Callithrix jacchus: one gene and its partner. The protein of the gene in region 1 purifies or fractionates together with the protein of each later gene. This does not show direct contact. Links are inferred from orthologs where the notes say so. Each region holds a gene or a part of one and is shown on either strand. Other genes may lie near its edges.

The links.
Region 2: the proteins of FXR1 (region 1) and CEP63 purify together in Homo sapiens (co-immunoprecipitation; 3 studies listed by BioGRID and IntAct, with this or other methods). This does not show direct contact. The link is inferred for Callithrix jacchus from reciprocal best matches to the Homo sapiens genes FXR1 and CEP63.

The regions. Positions count from the first base shown.
Region 1 is NC_133516.1:9,198,913-9,202,565, reverse strand, and holds part of FXR1 (RNA-binding protein FXR1), read right to left. Parts: intron 1,657-3,653; coding exon 1,585-1,656; intron 1,170-1,584; coding exon 1,021-1,169; intron 786-1,020; coding exon 692-785; intron 238-691; coding exon 121-237; intron 1-120. UniProt on the Homo sapiens protein: mRNA-binding protein that acts as a regulator of mRNAs translation and/or stability, and which is required for various processes, such as neurogenesis, muscle development and spermatogenesis.
Region 2 is NC_133518.1:49,629,125-49,632,777, reverse strand, and holds part of CEP63 (centrosomal protein of 63 kDa), read left to right. Parts: intron 1-1,468; coding exon 1,469-1,702; intron 1,703-1,982; coding exon 1,983-2,122; intron 2,123-3,218; coding exon 3,219-3,356; intron 3,357-3,653. UniProt on the Homo sapiens protein: Required for normal spindle assembly.

The DNA.
Region 1 (3,653 bases):
GGTTGCAGTAAGCCAAGATCGTGCCACTGCACTCTGGATGACAGAGCCAGAATCTGTCTCAAAAAACAAACAAAAACTCAATAGGACACACAGAATTCTTTTGTAGGTAAACCCACTTACTTCTAAATGCTTAGTGGCCTCTTCATTTCTGGACATAAGCATCAACTTCGTACGAATACTTCGCAAATGCATGTCACTTAAGATATTTACTCTCTTCACAGTTGCTTCGCTGGCAGACTATAAACAAACAAGCTAATTACTCAAAACTTTAATCATTCTTCCAAATAGCACAAATGCCATCTTCTATACAAAGCGTTCCTTGCTTCTCATCTACTACACTTCTCCTTTCAACTAACATTCCGTACTCTGAGTAATCAGACTTTCCTTTCTGAATTCCTGTATTATTTATAACTGCTATTCAGAATAGGTTTGGCTGGGAAAAAATCCACGTTCTCACAGATTAAGAATTTTATGTTAAGAATGTCATGTTAAGATTTTTTTCTCCTTACTCCAGAAGAAATCAAAAATAATTAACATTTTATAGCGGCAAATGAATTTTTCTCCCACACTGTTTTAATAAATAATTCACTATATACTAAGCTGACCTTGGCTTTTCTCTTTTGAAATATCTAATAATAAAATCTGTGCAGTATCCATTAACAAGCTACTTTAAAACATGGTGTTATCTTACCAGTATCATCAGCTGTGTTGTTTCTGGATGGTAAAAAATTCTGCATGCTCCTACTGCTTTCTTAAAATCTTTATGTGCATTTTCATTAGCACACCTAGAGAAAAATTAATTCATGTGTAAGACCTCAATAACAGATTAAATTTAGAGGAGACTTATAATACAAAGTCAGTGTTTCATTTTGACATCCGCCATTAAAACCTTTGTTCATTAAGATTTTCCATCAAAAGGTTTTGACTGGATGTTTGATTGGATGTTTGGGAAAATGTTTTGCAGCACTGAAAAATCCTCTTAATTCACAAAACAATTCAATAGTAAATAAAATTACTCACGCCTCTCTCAAATCCTCAGGAACATCCACTGTGCATTTAAAGAAGGTATTTTTTTTGACCGTTTTATTTTGATTGACAGGTCGAAGTCGTTCAAATGTGACTATTTCATTGTAAGTAGCATCACAAGCAGCATATTCAATGACATAAAACTAAAAGACATCAAAATACTTTAAAAATCCCATATGAACAAAATAATGAAATTTAAATGAAGTTCTAATTACCTTGCTCAGCTTAACCAATGGATCCTCCCCCATGTGGCACAAACACTAAGCACAGCTTAGCTGCACCAATCTGATTTGCCTAAAGTAGATGATAGGTTCTTACAAGCATGAACCTTGGTGATCCTTACATGCTTGAGGTGTACCTCTGGAGTGCAGCTTTGGTGTTTGCCAATACAGAACACAAACAGAAATTAATGCTAATGAACTTCCGAAATGTTTGATCAACTATTTCTCAGGTAGGCTTTTAGAAATAATACTGACAGTAGAAATAACATTTACAAAAACCAAGCACTGAGGTGTTTCCTTAGAAACTAGTCACAAAGCAAGTGTTAAGCTTACTTACTTCTCCTTTCATCATCCGAACTTTAGCCAACCACCACCCACACGGCTCTTGGTCATTTGCTCTTGAATATACCTGAGGAGAAGAAAAAAAAAAATGCCTATATCCATTCATCCCAAAAGATTTCAATGCTGTAAATAATGACTTCTTATAAATGTCCAGTCCCATTAAACTTAAGAATCAAAAATGCTATTTTATTTAAATTGGTATATTAAATGAAATATAATAAAAGTGACAGTTACACTTAAATTTAGTACTTAAAAATAAAACTATACTTTTTCGGGCAGTTTAGCTTCTTGGAAATTAATTCCATATTCATGAGGTTTACTAAACATAAGCATTTTAAAGAAATGCTCTTAAAAAGGAGTTTTAAATAATGTATAACATAGGCCTTCCTGTTTCTATCAACATTGTTAATATTAAATATTATTCTCAGAAAGTGATTAACCTAATGTTTAAATTCCATCAAGGACATGACACTTAGATCCCTTGCCAAAGAACTTAAAGCAAATGTACTAAAATGGTTTGAGTAACAAAAATACTACACACATTCAGTCCATCTAGCAGAGTACACTAAGTATCTTACAAAACTCCTATTCAGGCCAGGCGCTGTGGCTCACGCCTGTAATCCCAGAACTCTGGGAGACCAAGGTGGGTGGATCATCTGAGATCAGGAGCTCGAGACCAGCCTGATCAACATGGTAAAACCCTGTCTCTATTAAAATACAGAAATTAGCCAGGCATGGTGGCAGGCGTCTATAATCTCAGCTACTCAGGAGGAGGCAGCAGGCCAATCACTTGAACTCAGGAGACAGGCCACTGCACTCCAGCCTGGGCAACTAGAGAGAAACTCCATCTCAAAAAGAAAAAAAAAAACCCAAAACAACAAAAAAAAACTCCTATCCACAAAATAATTAGTCTTATATTCTTTATAAAATCAGTTTTATTAACATAATAGATCACAGAAGTTTTCACTTGGGATTCTAGTTAAACCCAACTAAAGACAGAAAGTTTTAGAAAGCCTGAAGCTTCTATCAGGACGATTTGAGAGTAATCTCAGAAGTGGTAGAAATATGGAACTGGAAATGAATAAACCAAAACCTACTAATAAACTTTACTGTACACCGTGATTAGAAAAAAGCTATGAGAAAAGCAGGAGTCCAATATACCAATCAGGATCCATTAAACTCAATTTTAGCTTTTCCATTTCTTTTATAAACAGATCTAACTATTCAAAGGGATCAATATCTCATGACTTTATTCTTCCTTAGACATATACAAAACAATAAGAAAGTTTACTTTTTTAAGACTAGAATAAAACTCACCCTTATTCTGCAATTATTTTATGTATCCACTGGGCCCTTCTATAAATGTAAGGTAGAATATAGTGATCTTATTTTTCCTATATCTTGAAACATTTTACTATTTCATCAACATTCATCAGTTATTCTCAGCTATGTTTTAAATAAAGACTAAAATGGAACAGAGGAGTAACGGCATCACCTAGAAGGACACAACAGTGAAATAAATTGTTAACGCTGTGTCATCGTAGTTTCCTTACTGTATAGCCCGAGGTATCACATCTCTTTCAAAAAAGTGAAAAAAGACTGAGGACGCCATCCTTGCAGTCTGCTTGTAGCTACCGCTGACCAGTTGAGAATTATGAATTTATTTTTCAGTCATAATTGCAAAAAGAAGAAAATTTACAGAGGAATGCCTTTCTAATTATTAGAGATATCAGACAACAGATCCAAAAAGATAGCAGCACACTTGATTCCACTGATAAATGTGAAATTATCTTACAAAGCAAAATCTCAGACTATGAAGTCTTCAGATGGTGACATCCTAGACGAATGTTCTCAAACCACGTATTTCTAAGGAGAAGAGGCAAAGATGATGTGTATTCTCATCCAGTTCATCACTCAACTGAGACTTCATCATGCAAAATCCTCCAACAAGAACCCAGATCATTCTGGTTTTCTAAAATGGTTTATGACAGTATTCTTCCATCTTTTTAAGATGTTTGTGATCAGGCATGGTGACTCACACCTGTAATCCCAGCACTATAGGAG
Region 2 (3,653 bases), on another chromosome or scaffold:
TTCTCACCCTCACCCAATCTGCACATTTATTTATTCTGTACAGGATTCTATATAAGATTTCCTCTTGGAAAAAAGTTTATATTGTATTCGAAAGTTTGGAGACAGTTCCATGCTTAGCAATTGTTCTAGTGAATCTAAACCTAAATGTTGATGTTCTTTCTTCATACCATTGTGGGGATCTGGTAAAAAGAAAAATGGCTCTTGGCACTGAAATCTTGATTTGTAATTTATACAAAGAGTATTTGTCTGTCTCGTCACCTTTCTTCTACACTCTCTCTGGCTTATGGGAACTTTTTAGCATCTACTTTACTTGACTGCAATATATAGTATAGTATTTGGACCTGTATTATAAATTATAAAATCTTTAGATCTGCAACAGTTTCCCAGAGATATCTCTACTTGTATTTTAAAAATAAAACTGTGTGTTTTTCCCTTTAGAAATATTTAGAATAAGGGAAGTTTACCTCCACAGATGATTTATATTCATCTTAAGTTTGTAGATGAAGTACAAGGATGCTGGATTAAAACTTGTAAAAACTAGAAAGTTGGGAGCTGAAAACCAATATTGCTGAGATGCATAGCCTAAAACATAGTACTCAGTAGATATGTCATTGAGAGAAACCAATTTGAGATGCACTGTATTTACGTCTTTTAACTCAGGAAGTGTCCAAAAACTGATGACAGAACCAGTCTCTTCTGCCTTATAAGCCCCTTTTTCTCCAATAAACAAAAGTCCACAATTTCCCCATTTCTTTTAATTTAAAGAGCATTTTATGGTCACTTTGATTAATCTAAATATGAATGTTTGTAATGTTAAAACAGAATAATTACAACATGCTCTAAGTGGGGGGGGGCGGAATTTAAACTACATATTTAGTGATTTTAAAATTCTAATAACTGAACTTCCATCAGAAATAGAATAATGCCTTATAGCTCCTGTTTCCTATGTTTTAAATAGGAAATAACTCTAGACAGGTTGTGGTTGAATTTCTGTGTAAGTAGGTAGAATACTGTAGCATCTCTTCTGAGGAATCCCTTTACTTTATCCATTATTTTATTTCATTTATTTTTTTGAGACAGGGTCTCACTTTGTCACACAGGCTGGAGTGCAGTGGTGTGATCTTGGCTCACTGCAACTTCTGCTTCCTGGGTTTGAGTGATCCTCCTGTGTTGCCATGCTCGGGTAATTTTTGTATTTTTTTTTTTTAATAAAGACGGGGTTTCGCCATATTTCCAGGCTGGTCTCCAACTCCTGAGCTCAAGCGATTTGCCCTCCTCAGCCTCCCATAGTGTTAGGATTGCAGCCACCATGCCCAGCCTCTCAATTCTTTCTTACCCCTTCTCAGCATACGTATTTTATTGAGCCAGTGCGTTATGCTTTCATGGAAATAGTAGGTTCATTTTAGTCTTGCTTATTCATTCATTATCATTTCCCTTTTACCTATTGATTGATGGTTTGTGTTTCTAGGCTCAGCTTGCCAATCGGAAACAGAAATTAGAGTCTGTGGAACTTTCCAGCCAATCAGAAATTCAGCACTTAAGCAGTAAACTGGAGCGGGCCAATGATACTATCTGTGCCAATGAGTTGGAAATAGAGCGCCTCACCATGAGGGTCAATGACTTGGTTGGAACCAATATGACTGTTCTCCAGGAGCAGCAGCAAAAAGAAGAAAAATTGAGGGAATCTGAAAAACTATTAGAGGTGTATTTTAAAATCACTATAATTGGGGGAAGTGTGTGTATGAGTGTTTTAAGAGTGTTGTTCAGCTAGAACTAGGTTCTGCAATCTATACTTTCTTTCCTACTTTATAAGTGTTAATGTTGTAACTGTTACATAACTTAATAGTCTGACTTCCTGGCTTCCTCATGAAATAGAAAAATTGTAATAATATCTGGCTTAGCAATTTCTGAGTATTTTGCAGGTTATGCAGGAAGAAAACGGAATTGAAAGAACATTATAATCATATCTGACTTTTTTGCAGGCTCTGCAGGAAGAAAAGAGAGAATTGAGGGCAGCTCTTCAGTCTCAAGAAAATTTCATCCGTGAGGAAAGAATGCTAAAGGAGAAATTACAAGAAAAAATAAAGGCAGCTGACGCTCAACACGCTGCAGAAGCTCTAAGGTAAATTTAACCTTCAATATTACTCATCTTAGCCACTTAATGGCTAGGCATTAAGCACTAGGTTTATTTAATTTAATTTTAATTTTAATTTTATTTTATTTTGAGATAGAGTCTTCTTCTGTCACCCAGGCTGGAGTGCAGTGGTGCAATCCTGGCTCACTGCAGCCTCCACCTCCCAGATTCAAGTGATTCTCCTGCCTCAGCCTCCTGCGTAGCTGGGACTACAGGTGCACGCCACCACCCCTGGCTACTTTTTGTATTTTTAGAGATGGGGATTCACCATGTTGGCTAGGTTGGTCTTGAACTCCTGACCTCAGGTGATCCCTTCACCTCAGTCTCCCAAATGCTGGGATTACTGGCATGAGCTGCTGTGCCTGTCCAAGCACTAGTTTTAATATTGCATATTTATAATTTTATGTTTGATCATATCTGAGTTAGGTTTTTAAGGTGTTATAAAATTTTGTTTGGTTAGTTTTCTTCTGCCTCCAGTTTGGGTTCCTAACAGAGACTCAGACTCTCATGTTTAAAAAGTTAGAAACCTCTTGGTCAGTTTGCATGCTTGGTGAATCTCCAGATGTGAAGGGAATTGTCATTCATGTCTTCTGTGTCATTCCTGTCTCCTGGAGGCCTCACTTTCTTGGTGGAATAGGGAGTGATTAGTAGCTGCTTATCATTAGTAGCAGCCAGCCATTGGGCTAGCCTTCTTGCTTGATTAAAGTCTGTTGCACACTTTTATTTTTGCCAGAATTCTCCTGTAACTTTTCAATTTTTTTGGTACAGGGTTTCAAGTGTCAGTGAAGTGATTTTGCCATTTTGTCTTTTTCCCTTGAAAAATAGGCCAAATCTCAGTTAAGAAGGGAGTAAATTGCCGCTGACTTTTTAAAGAAGGAGCATCTCTGGACTCTTGCTTTCCTTTCCCAATATTGTTTTTATAAAGCAGGAGGCATTCCCAATATTGTTTTTATAAAGCAGGAACTCATTTATAAATGAGTTCCAAAGAGTTTACCAAAAATGATTGGAAAATACAAACTAGATGTGCATTGTTTTTTGTTGGCAGAGATAAAGGCCTTAACAATCATCCTATGTCTTTCCATAGGCCAGGGGAAGACTCTCCGGCAGAAAAGAAGTACACTTCTCAAGGGCAGGGGGACTTAGACAGCGTGCTGTCCCAGTTGAATTTTACCCATACTAGAGAGGAACTTCTGCAGGCAGAGGTTACTCGTCTTGAAAGCAGGTACGTGATTATACACACATTTCAAAAATTTTAAGTTATTAAAATGAATTTTTGATCATATTTATAAAGTAAATAAATATAATAGTTCTAGTGAAAAAAATAAGATTTTTTTTCTAGCATCCACAAATGGACTGTGTTCTTATTTATTTTTTTTGAGATGGAGTCTTGCTCTGTTGCCCAAGCTGGAGGGCAATGGCATGATCTCAGCTCACTACAACCTCCGCCTCCCAGATTCAAGCAACTCTTCCACCTCAGCCTGCTGAGGAGCGGGGATTACAGACACCTGCCATCATGCCT